Linked DNA regions of Zea mays. The protein of the gene in region 1 binds, or shares a complex with, the protein of each later gene. Links are inferred from orthologs where the notes say so. Each region holds a gene or a part of one and is shown on either strand. Other genes may lie near its edges.

Region 1 (4,300 bases):
AGACTAGATAGCATCTATCTAGAACCAAAGGAAAGACTTAAAGCAGCCTATCCAGTTCCATATGCAATTATGCATGTTGCCGATGTAATAAATAATTTGACAGTGTCTACAGGAGTGAGTCTTAATGCAACTTGAGACTCTTATAGACTTATAGTCTTATTAAGTTATTATCAATATAGATAGTTGAATGGAAAATCTAAAACAGACAACAATATGGAATTAGATGCTTAGACACCATTTCATATACTTACTATAAACCGATGATGTTCCAGAGGACATGCCCAATTATCTAACAGATATGGACGATTTATGAACTTAGCTGAGTTGCATAGGTGTTACACGATTAGACACATCCCTCATTGCCATATCTATATTAATTGTAGGGTTTATATGAGAAAGAAATTTACAAGTGAAAGAAATAACCTGCAGAATTCCCATTTCGTGCCAGCTGTTGACAATGCCATCCATATAGGAATAACTGACAAAAAAGCAAACTATGCCATCTGGAACAGCAGAAGCCATTTCCAGCAAGAGGCGGCCATAATTCCTCACAACACCAGGATCACTACGCATATCGAACTTTGTACTCACAGGTAGCTGATCACTGAAGATGATGGAATGGTTGGTGTTTACACAGTGTACAATGCTACCAGTAATATGAAATGTTGGAAACAACTAAAGATGTTATAAAAGCTTAACATAAGTGTCATATGATTCTCAGGAATAAAAATGTATCATGTATACGCAAGACAGTGTTAGCATTTCCAAACCTAAGAATATGTTGACAATGCTAGCATTTAAAGACTAACATAAGTGCCATGCTTAACATAAGTGTCATGCTACAGTACAGTAGATTTTGAAATATGAAGTTCGCGTGGGACCAGCTCATACCTTCCTCGGGTCAAGACCATGGGACAAATACAATCTCTTGTTAAGGACATGGTGAAGCTTCTGCTTATGACAGGATTAAAATTCAAGAGACGAGGGTAAAGATCTATTGGGCTGAGAGTTCCAGAAGTGATCACAACCGTTTCGAAACGATCAAAAACAGGTCTTATTGCGAGTGAAGCATCATGGCAACTCAGCTGCAGAACAAATGAGTTCATTAGTAGCACACTAAAGAAGCAGAGTGTGTATACAATTTCAGCATGATCACAAAGAGTAGTCTGGGTACCTGAATAACAGGATCACGAATATCAGGCATTCTATCATCATACGGCTCTATTATAATAGAAAAGCCCCGTGTATAAGTTCCAATCAGTGTGGCAAAGTCACATATGGTCTGTATGTGCATGAACTCATCTGTATCAGTTATCTCTAATGTCATCATTAGGGAGTGTAGCCGGTCATAACAAAACCTCAGCATTTTTTGGTCGATTCCAGCCTGGGAATGGATTGAGGCAACAAAGGAAACTGGCATTTCATTCTCAACATTTTCTGTTTCAAGCCGGCCATCAAGGAATCTCACAAGCCTCCGCAAGACAGCAAGAAAATGTTCAGCCCTCCTTATGTTTCCAGGAACAGCTTCCTTCAAGATGTCATCAGGCAAAGACGGATTCGCGAGCCAAGCATCCGATACTTCATCACAAGAAGCATAATACTGTGAGCTATATGCAGAAGGCTATAGCTGACAGTGCGAAATGCAGTACTGGTGGCAAAAGGCCAGTGCTTACTTGGTAGATTTCCTCGCTGTGCCAGTCCATCCACCAGTCTGTTGTATTCAGCACGAAGCCTATTGGCATCGGTGGCCTTGAACCTTCCTACCAGATAAAGCAGTTGGCAAAGCAAGCTTAACTATCCATCACAAAGTTGAAGATGAATAGTTCTAAAGAAACAGGACCTATCGTTCAGTGGCTATTGGTGGCTGGCTTAAGTATATCCAACAATTGGGAGTGGTACCTGTCGATCTCTTGCGAGATGCGCCGCAGATTTCGCTCTGCGCCTTCCAGCGTCTGCTTGCGGATGCTGACGCTCAGCGCCTCTATGCAGACATTGTCAATGTTGTGAGCCTCATCGAACACGACCACACACTCCTTCTGCATCTCCCTGGACACAATGCTGGCCACCTTGGGGTCGAGCAGGTACTGGTAGCTGTACACCACAACATTGGCGTACTTGACCATCTGCCTGGCAAGGAAGTAAGGGCAGACCCGGCGCTCCCTTCCGAGCGCGCGGAGGTCTGCCAGGGTGTACACCCCGGGCGGCATGAAGGAGGCGAGGTCGCCGGCGGCAGCGGCCCGGTCGAACGTCTCGTAGAACTCGCACAGCGGGGTGGAGTCCGGGTCGGAGGAGGCCTTCTCGCGGACCCAGGAGGCCGTAAGGCGGCGGCAGGCGGTGTCGACGGAGTCCCGGGCGGCGGCGGCGGACGCCTGCGGGTGGATGCAGAGGTTCTTGCGGGAGGAGAGGCCGAGCGCGAGGAGGGAGCGGGAGGCCGCGGGCGGGAGGTGGGCGAAGAGGAGGCGGAGCTCGGCGAGGGTCTTCTCCATCTCGTGCACGGTGCGGGTGCAATAGATGAGGCGGAGCGGGCGGGCCGGGTTGGCGAGGGAGTAGGAGGTGATGAGGGAGATGAGCGCCGCCGTCTTGCCGGTGCCCGTGGGCATCTCGAGCAGCGCGTGCCCGCGCGCGTCGAGGGCGCGCTTGAGCTCCCCCATGTACGCGTGCTGCTCCGGGTAGATCGCCGCGTACGGGAAGTGCACGGGCAGGCCATCCAGGTCAAACCGCATTGTGGCGGAGGGGAAAGGCAACCGAGGGGCAACGCCGGAGGGGTTTGATTCGCCGGAGAGCGGAGAGGCGGAGACGGTGCTCGCGCCGCCGCCGCGGGGTGGAGATCACGTGAGGTGCTCGGTGGAATGCCCCCGTGCAGAGGAGATGCTGGTGGGCTCGTAATCGTAACGAGTATAGGCTTCTGGGTTGGGCTGGTACAGAGAACAGAGTCGGCTGCGAGCTACGGGCTACGAATGAACGATACAAAGGGTGGGAAGGCCACTCATAGCCCTCTTTGTTTCAGTTTTTTCGGTTTCTGTCCACCAAAAATTATTGTGGACGGTTAAACGCTCAACTTTTTAGCTAGCTTCTATAAAATTAATTTTGGTAAAACCATCTGAAATCAATATAAACACATAATCGGTTGAGTCGTTGCAATAATAGGAATCCGTCAATTTCTAGATCCTGAGCCCTATAGACAAATTCATCTTTCTTTGCACATAATCGCAACGATACTCAAATTCTCTACACATCCAGATTCTCCCCACATTCAGATTCTCAGAAAAGTTGAACCAAACAGGCCTTGTACCCCTAGAGTAGAATTTAAAGTACAACCTTCTGGGTTGGGCTCGTACAGAGATCTTACAATTTTTTATTGCGACGGCTCACAACAATATTGTGTCCTCCTCGGCAACACGCACGGAGAAAGGCCAAGAGCAAGACCGACACACCCCATATTCGTGTCGACGAGCGTCGGTCGGCTCGCGGCTGCAACCGTGGGCGGGGGAGCAGGTTGGGGAGGAAGAACATGGCGAAGGCCAGAAAGACGAGCGAGACTTCCGACAGCGGCGAAAACAATGGTGCGCGCATGCTATGAAACGTCCTCATGGATGTGCAATAGCCACTGCGTGGGTCGGTGTAGGGGCTGGTGTCAGACGAATATGGGGAGGAGGCGTCTGCTTCCACACCCTCCGCCGAGAATGGGGTGGCACGGAGGCGGAGGCATGAGGGGAGAGAGAAAAGAAGTAGGATGACGAACGAGGTGGTGACAACTGAGTCGAGTACTATCATTATCGTGCGAAGGTACAGATGATCAAATGTGTCGTGTCTGGTGGGCTAGTCTGAGGCACGACCCATTTAATAGTGTCTAGGCCAGCCCGACATGAGTGTTGTGCCATGCTTGGGCCGTAGCCTCGACCCGACACGATTATATATTTTTAATTTTACAAAAAAGCATATATACACATGTACAATTTATATTCAATATTGAAAACATCTGAGTATGATGTTCTACTGGTTAGACGATTTCACCTAGTGTCTCCCGCCATTCTTCCAATAGGCGTGGGTTCAAACCCCACCTTCGACACTATTTTTTAACATTTTATGCTGATTTAACCAAATGGCCCGACGGGCTAACGGGCCGGTGTGTCGTGCCTGGGCCAGAGCTGCGGTCTGCGGGCGTCGAGCCCGTGCCAGGCTGCCGTTAAGGGGACAGGCGTGCAACAGGTTAATTTGAAGTAGATGTGATGTGTTATTTGTAAAAAGATGACGCAGAACGACTGTTGAAACTCATATTTTAATATAGTAGAGATATAGA
Region 2 (4,241 bases), on another chromosome or scaffold:
CGTGCCTGGGCCTCAACTTAAGCACACAGACCGGCCTGACACGACCCATTTAACTAAGGTACACTAAAGCCTACTAGCAATTCTATCCGTCCGATAGTATGGCGGCGCCGCCATCCAACGACCACTAGCCATTCGACCATTTCCCCACCATTTGGTGCATTTCCGGATTCCCCAAGGCCCAAACGCAAGTCACCAAAACGGCAAAACTAGACAACCCGCCGACCGCCGCAACCCTAAACCTAAAGTCCTAAACGGCTAAACGCTCAGTCGCTCACACGTAGAGATGGTAATGGATACCCGAAACCTGAATACTCGACGGGTTTTACCCGATATGAAGGCGGGTACGGGATGATTTCTCTACCCGCAGATATGTTAATGGGTAAAACCTCTACCCGTTGGGTAGACGGGTATGGGTACGAGTTGGTACTACCCGTACCCGTCTACCCATGGGTAAAATATGCCCGCATCAATACCACTATAACCATCTAATAGAGCTCATCCTAGCTAAAATAAAACTCTTCTTTTACTATCATTTGTCTAGATACCAAGTTATGTGATTATATGATTTGTTATATGTGAAGTTGATTTTTTTTGCATGTTTATTTAATATTTTGAGTGATTGGTATATTGAAATTTAAGACTTTCCTATCGGGTTCGGGTTGCGCGACGGGTAAAAATACCCGCGCGGGTACGTGTATGGGTAAGATTTTATACCCGCAAACATATATGGGTAATCCGACAGGTAGATTTTTTTTGATAGATACGGGTATGAAATGATACTATCGGACGGTTGGACTGGGCAAAAAGAATCGGAACCGAGGAACCGAAACCGAACTAACCGAACCGAGGAACCGTTATGAAATTTGGTTCTGTTTTTCTAAGAACCGAAATAAATGAGACATTTTCGGTTCTGCACTCCAAAGAACCGAAAAACTCAAAAGTATTAGATTCAATTTGTTACATGTGTTTGTAACTTCGGATGTTGTGTTATCAACTTATGTTGAACCTCTAATCATCCATGTATTATTTATGAAATTATGGTCATTGCGCACTTGTGGTTGTTTATGGGGAGATGTTGCTGAAATTTGTCACAAAAGTTGTCGTTATTCAGAATTTTAGAGTGACTGTTATAGTTCGGTTAGAACCGAGGAACCGAACTGAAGAACCGAGAACCAAATTAGTCGATTATAGTTTTTTTTATCTTACTATTTCGGTTCTAGTTTTTAAAGGACCGAATTTCTACAAGAACCGATGAACCGAACCGAATAACCGAACGCCCGGTCCTACCGGACGGGTATGCCCGTTGCCATCCCCACACGCCGCTCACACGCCGCCTCCCTCGTTCTCGCGCCGACGCTCGCCGCACCGCCTCCCTCTCCCTCGTTGTCGCGCCGCCTCCCTGTCCCTCGTTCTCGAGCCGCCACACCGCCTCCCCAGCCGGCCAGGTAACACACGGCGGCTCTTCCCTGCTGGGCTTCGGAGCTGCCAGTCTGCCACGCCGCCGCCCCAGCAGAGAGGCGAGCACCCCCGCCGGCGCCTCGGAGCTTTGAATTGGCTGGGCGCGCGACCGGCCTCTGCCGCCGGGCCGCGAGCAGCAGCAACCCCCCTCGCCGGCCATGACCTCCGCTCACTCCAAGCTCTACTCCGGTGAGCCACGCGCCACTCTTGCATCCCCGTACTCCGCGATGCCCTCATGGTCCTAACACACACGCGCTCAACCCATCTGGTGCCACCCGTCGGCGCGTGCAGATGACGTCAGCCTCGTCGTGGTCGTCGTCGACACGAACCCCTTCTTCTGGGCCGCCGCGGCGCTCCCCTTCGCCGACTTCTTCGCGCACGTATGCAACCCTAACCCTCCATTTGCTTCCCTGCGCCTGCTTCCTTGTTCGATCTTCACTGGCGATTTTGTGCGTTAGATGACTCGTTGGTAGCGGTGCCCTGATCCGTCCATTGGGCCTTGGCTTGATGTGATATCCATGCCCGTGCAGCTGATCCACTTCGTGAACTCCCTCCTGCTGCTGAACCACCTCAACCGTGTGGTCGTCATCGCGGCGGGAGTCAGCTCGTGTGCCTACATCCTGGATTCCAGCGATGCCAGCCCCTCCGGTGGTGTGGCCGTCTCGGACACCTTCGACAAGGCAAGCCGCAAGGCGGAGGAGTTCATTGCACAAGATGCGCGCGCCACTGCAGGCAACGGTTCCGTTGCTTCTGCCAATGCCGCGTCGCTGCTCTCTGGGGCGCTGTCCATCTCTTTGTGCTGTATCCAGTCGCTTGAATTCCTTGACTATTGCACATTCACCTATCTTATTTGTGCTCGTGTTGCTTAACATTGAGGTTATTTAGATATACAGAGGATTTTCCGGTCTGGGTCTCGGCATCCACAACCTCGGGTGAGTGTAGAGTTCTGAGTAATGTTTAATTTCATCATTTGTGATCAACAAATAATGCTTTGTTTGGCCCATAATTTGTTGTAGTCAGTATTCTCATACTTATTATAATGCCACGGCAGTTGATACTAACACGAGATACAGATTTTGTGCCTGCAGGGATCTCCAGACGGACCTGAACAGTATGCACGCATCGTCATCAATGCAGTTTCTAGTTTTTTTTCAGGACCTAGTTTTCACTTCATCAAATTTATGTGCAGATATGTGGCAGTGATGAATTCAATATTTTCTGCTCAACGTTCCATGGTATCACATCAATTGCTTAATCCATTTTAGTCCCATTGAGATTTATTGATCTTTTCGTTTCACCAGCCAGTCACTATGTTGTTACTTATTACTCCTTCTGTCCCAGTATATAAGGCGTAACCACCTCTGGCTCAAAGACCAAGAAATGTATTTAATTCTCTCTATACTTTTGCATCGATGTACGCATGTCTAGAGATAATACGCCTTGTATTATGGGACTAGAATAAAAAGTAGTTACACCTTATACACTAAGATAGAGTAAGTACTTAATATCCAAATTTGACACATGTAGTGGGTTCAGAAAGAGCAAGACATTGGAATGTGCCTATGTAGATATGCATCCATAATTGTTCCAAAACTTTAGCTACGGTGGCTTAATGACTGGCAACATTCTTACTAATCTCTTAGGTACCAATTGACTCTTGTATTGTGGGAACCCAGGATTCTGCTTTCTTGCAGCAGGTAATGCTCTTTAGTACTCATCAAATTCATCCACATGTTATACTGTCACAACATCCTCTTGCTGACTAGTTACCGATATTTCATTATGCAGGCTTCGTACATAACAGGAGGAGTTTATTTGAAGCCACAAGAACTAAATGGCCTGTTTCAATACCTTGCCGTAAGTTATCCAGGCTCCCTCTGCTGATATTAATATATCAGCTCATATAGTTCTATTTTTCCTTTTGGGGGCTTTTGAGAATGTATTTATATCCCTACTACTCTATAAGTCCTCATTGTAGGCGTCCACATGTGCGTCATGTTCTGCCTCTCGACGCCCGCCTGCCCGCGCGTCCCGCTCCTGCGCGCCCCCGCTCGTGATGCCCGTCCCGCCTCCCCGCTGTGGCAGCCGCCTTCGCGTCCACCGCGAGATCCCCGCCCTTCCCATGGAACCCCGCTCTGCACCCCTCCCAGAGCTCTGTCGTGTCATCCCCGCCCTGCCCCCCCTCGAAACCCCGTTCCCTCCGGCCCCGCCCTCGCCCTCCTCCCACTCCGACGCACTCGAGAAGCCGTTAGCCAACGCCGCCGCTTCCACCTCTGAGTCCTTCGTGGCGCTCAAGGCCCATTATCCCCCGCCTCCCCCTCCCGTGCCGCCTAGGTCTCGTTGGATAAGATGTCGATCCGGGGTCGATGAGCACTAGACCTTCTCCGATTCTCTAGCGACCCTCCCCCACAACCACGGTCTCGCGCGAGCTTGGTCGGCTTCGTCAGCGAAGCTAGGCAGCAGGCGTGGGCAGTCGGGCTGGTCCAGGGACGCCAGCTCGCATCTGTCGGTTTCCATCCGCAAAGGTAGCAGCAGACGTCGCCGTCGACTGTCGCGGGCACCGACGACCAACACCACCTTCCCTTCGGCCCAAGATCAGCATCTGTAAACGCCTTTGACCGTCTGTGCCTCGATCCAAGCTCAAACCACGGGCAAGCAAACACATCGCATCTCCAACCTCCTCGGTTCGGTCGGCTACCCCAGATCGACAGCTTTCAGGTGTGTGTTCCCCTATTTTTTTATTTTTTGGATGAACACTAATGGTTATGAGGTGAATAAAGTGG
Region 3 (3,252 bases), on another chromosome or scaffold:
CAGGGTATGGCTCGCGAGCCGCCTTTGAACCGAGCCTGTTTCTCCAGCTCGTGAAACAGACGAGCCGAACCGAGCTCGGTCGGCCACCGAGCTGCACCGCTCGGCTCGTTTCCAGCCCTAATCCTAGGGTTTGTTTGAGAGCAAGAATACTAGAAGGGCTTATAAGAGTCTAAAATTCTCATGTTATTCAATTTTGAATATCATTGCTCTCAAGCAAGCCCTTATGCAGATAATGTTCCTAGGATTACTCACCGAGGGAAAATATAGGGATCTCTAGAGGATTTGGATTTCCAAACTACCTGTTAGTGTGCCACCGTAGTTTTGTTGTCCATAGCAAGACAAAGATACATACAAATAAAGGCACAGATATACGTGACTATGGCCCTGTTCCAATCTCGCGAGATAAACTTTAGCAGCTTTTTTTAGCTACTTTTAGCCATTTATAATCTAAACAGAAGAGTTAATGGTGGTAATTGAAACTAAACTTTAGCACTTCAATTCATATAGCTAAAGTTTAGCAGGAAGCTAAAGTTTATTCCGTGAGATTGAAACGGGGTCTAAGCCCCATCTGGATCTCAAATTCTCAACGGATTTTAAGGACCTGACAAAAAGAATCCCAGAATACCACAAGTGCAGCACAGTAGCAGTGCCCTCTGCACGTTTATAGCACATAGCAGTATGATTTCAAGGCCACAGGTGGGATCTATTTGGCGTACTCGTTTCCGCTGAGGTGCTCAGCTCACAGCAGAAATAATACAGGCAACGAAAGCAAGTCCCAAGGAAGGAGTGTAGGACGCGGTAGATCCTCCACTACTGCGGCTTCTCGTAGCTGTTCTGGTCCCTGAACTCCCCGATCTTGCTCCTGATCATGTGCGCCACGTGAGGCTGCACGAACATGTTGGTAGGGTCGAGCATGTGCACGATGAACCTCTCCGACGGCGGCATCGACGCGTTCAGGTTGACGATGAACTGTGCCATAGGTACGTCGCTGAAAAATAGAGGGACGGACGGACGGCAACCATGTAAAGGCAGGGAGAGAGGGAGAAATGCAAACGAGGGATTCATTTTCAGCTGCGTCAGGAGAGCTTACCAGGAGATGAACAGCCCCTTGATCGCGTTAACCATCTTGCCTGTGCTCTGGACAGGGACAACTGCCTGGTTACATCGCCACACAGAAACAACGTCAGTTGGAGTACCAAAGAAGCAGCACCAGGACTGCAAACTTTTCGCACGAAAACGACGCGCATGAAGGTGATAGACTGGTGTCGCAGTGATTGTAGGATTGGTTGAAGGACAGAACAAAGGGTCAGCAAGATGCTCCACGTTTTCTTGCGCGCATAATCTCAGCGGATATCTTGTAATTCTCTGTGCACGCATTACACCGAACAACTACAGGGCACGGAGGGATTCAACGACAAACATAATAATCGCTTCTATTATTTTCGTAGCGGCAAGTAGGCCAATCATCAACCGAGGTCAGCTGAGTCGGAGGAAGAAGTGGCCCTCGGGGAGTTCCATGATCCGTCCCAATTCCCAACTCTCTTGCTCTCACCATGTCGATTCAGAACGGGAGGGAAAAAAACCAAACAAAAAAGTTCAGATCCGAGACGGCCTCACCGTTGCTTGGCACCGACGACGACGCTCGTCGTGGTCCCGCGTCCCTCCCGGCCGCAGGATTCAGTCCTCTCGCTTCGGATCGGATCCTCCACTCTTCGCTCGCCGGCGGCGCCGCAGCTCCTCTATCTATCGGCCTCACCTTTCCTCGCTTCTCCTTCAGCCCTCTTTGCGGCAGACGATAAAGATGCTGGGCCCGCTGGCTTCTTCGCCCGCCCACCAAACCCATGTTCACAGCCCACGGTCCGACCCATTTCTTGCAATTTGACACCGCAGTTTCCGTCCACAAAAAAAAAAAAGAACAATTAGATCTATACCATTAAAAGATCCAAACTTTAGATATATATCATGGATCACACATGTCATTGACTCATGTGGACCTATATATAAGTGAGATAGTAATGGTATGGATCCAAAGTGGTGATCTTTTAATGGTATGAATCTAAATTTCCAAAAAAAAAATTGCGTACGAATCATGGAACACCCGAGGGCCACTTCCTCCTCTCCTGACTCAGCTGACCTCGGTTGATGACTGGCCTACTTGCCCCTACGAAAATAATAGAAGCGATTATTATGTTTGTCGTTGAATCCCTCCGTACCCTGTAGTTGTTCGGTGTAATGCGTGAACAGAGAATTACAAATTTATGTCCAGCAATAGCAGAACCAAATTGTCATATGACAGTACTTAAAATTCAGTGAGGAACCACACTGTGTAACAGAATTTTGAAAAGGTGATGGTGAAAAACTTACTACAAATCTAGGATATTTTAGGTCTGCAAGGTTGCTGATTAACTAGGTACTAGGTATTCATAAATTTGATACTTAAACTGTCGTACTCATACCCAATAAATTAGATGACCTTAAATTGCGAAATTTCATGAAAAAGGAGAAAAAAATACACAAATCACTTCGCGCAGAGCTTCACACCACCACACAGCAAATCACTTGCGCATTTATTATAATTTTGGACAAGAACGTAGCTCATTTGGTGGGGAAGTAATTATCAAACAAAATAAAATTTGTGCGTGCAGCATGGACGTGGCTATATGAATGCACGGCATGTGCAGATGTGCCGCTGCCCAAGATTTGCTAATACAAGTGACCAAAGATGTGTTAGGTAGTAGTAATTGAGGAGACAAAGAGAGTGAGAGACCTGCGGCCAGCGGCCTCCAGCCTCCAGGTGAACATGACTGTGACGGTCTCAAACAATCAAACCTGAGGGGATGTGCAGTGTGCTGCACGGCTTGTAGCGGTGCAGCCCTGCACCCAGCACGCTGGAGAGCTGGTCTGCTGCCTGGCCCGCCCGCTCGAGGGAGATTGGGATTTGGGAGGACGAACGAGAGAGTCGAGTCGGCGACGATGACAGAATAGAAGCTAGTTTTCTCACTTTGCTGGTCACTTTATATATGTCGGTCATTGAGTCTTAATTCTATGGCCCGAATTCTTTAGTGCCTGTTTATATGGGCTCGTGAGGATTAGGGACGAAGAAGAGACTACCATACTCGTCCCCGCTAAACCTGATGGAGATGATTCTTTCTCATTTTAATACCTCATTGAAATAAATTGTAACTATCCCCGTCTTGTAATATCTCCGCGGGGAACGGGACTTCATTACCATCTCTACCTAGGATTGCCAAA

What was found.
Region 2: DNA repair helicase UVH6 (region 1) and General transcription and DNA repair factor IIH subunit TFB4-like share a complex: the UniProt entries of both Arabidopsis thaliana proteins name them as parts of the 7-subunit TFIIH core complex. The link is inferred for Zea mays from reciprocal best matches to the Arabidopsis thaliana genes UVH6 and AT1G18340.
Region 3: DNA repair helicase UVH6 (region 1) and REX1 DNA Repair family protein share a complex: the UniProt entries of both Arabidopsis thaliana proteins name them as parts of the 7-subunit TFIIH core complex. The link is inferred for Zea mays from reciprocal best matches to the Arabidopsis thaliana genes UVH6 and AT1G12400.

What each region holds. Positions count from the first base shown.
Region 1 is NC_050105.1:91,196,065-91,200,364, reverse strand, and holds the start of DNA repair helicase UVH6, read right to left. Parts: upstream 2,949-4,300; 5' UTR 2,724-2,948; coding exon 1,900-2,723; intron 1,757-1,899; coding exon 1,674-1,756; intron 1,579-1,673; coding exon 1,175-1,578; intron 1,086-1,174; coding exon 892-1,085; intron 605-891; coding exon 424-604; intron 1-423. UniProt on the Arabidopsis thaliana protein: ATP-dependent 5'-3' DNA helicase, component of the general transcription and DNA repair factor IIH (TFIIH) core complex, which is involved in general and transcription-coupled nucleotide excision repair (NER) of damaged DNA and, when complexed to CDK-activating kinase (CAK), involved in transcription by RNA polymerase II.
Region 2 is NC_050099.1:247,477,472-247,481,712, reverse strand, and holds the start of General transcription and DNA repair factor IIH subunit TFB4-like, read left to right. Parts: upstream 1-1,410; 5' UTR 1,411-1,616; coding exon 1,617-1,647; intron 1,648-1,749; coding exon 1,750-1,838; intron 1,839-1,988; coding exon 1,989-2,259; intron 2,260-2,334; coding exon 2,335-2,390; intron 2,391-2,531; coding exon 2,532-2,569; intron 2,570-2,647; coding exon 2,648-2,693; intron 2,694-3,101; coding exon 3,102-3,155; intron 3,156-3,246; coding exon 3,247-3,315; intron 3,316-4,208; exon of another isoform or gene 4,209-4,241. UniProt on the Arabidopsis thaliana protein: Component of the general transcription and DNA repair factor IIH (TFIIH) core complex, which is involved in general and transcription-coupled nucleotide excision repair (NER) of damaged DNA and, when complexed to CAK, in RNA transcription by RNA polymerase II.
Region 3 is NC_050101.1:47,599,495-47,602,746, forward strand, and holds REX1 DNA Repair family protein, read right to left. Parts: upstream 1,804-3,252; 5' UTR 1,618-1,803; intron 1,156-1,617; 5' UTR 1,126-1,155; coding exon 1,091-1,125; intron 989-1,090; coding exon 811-988; 3' UTR 572-810; downstream 1-571. UniProt on the Arabidopsis thaliana protein: Component of the general transcription and DNA repair factor IIH (TFIIH) core complex, which is involved in general and transcription-coupled nucleotide excision repair (NER) of damaged DNA and, when complexed to CAK, in RNA transcription by RNA polymerase II.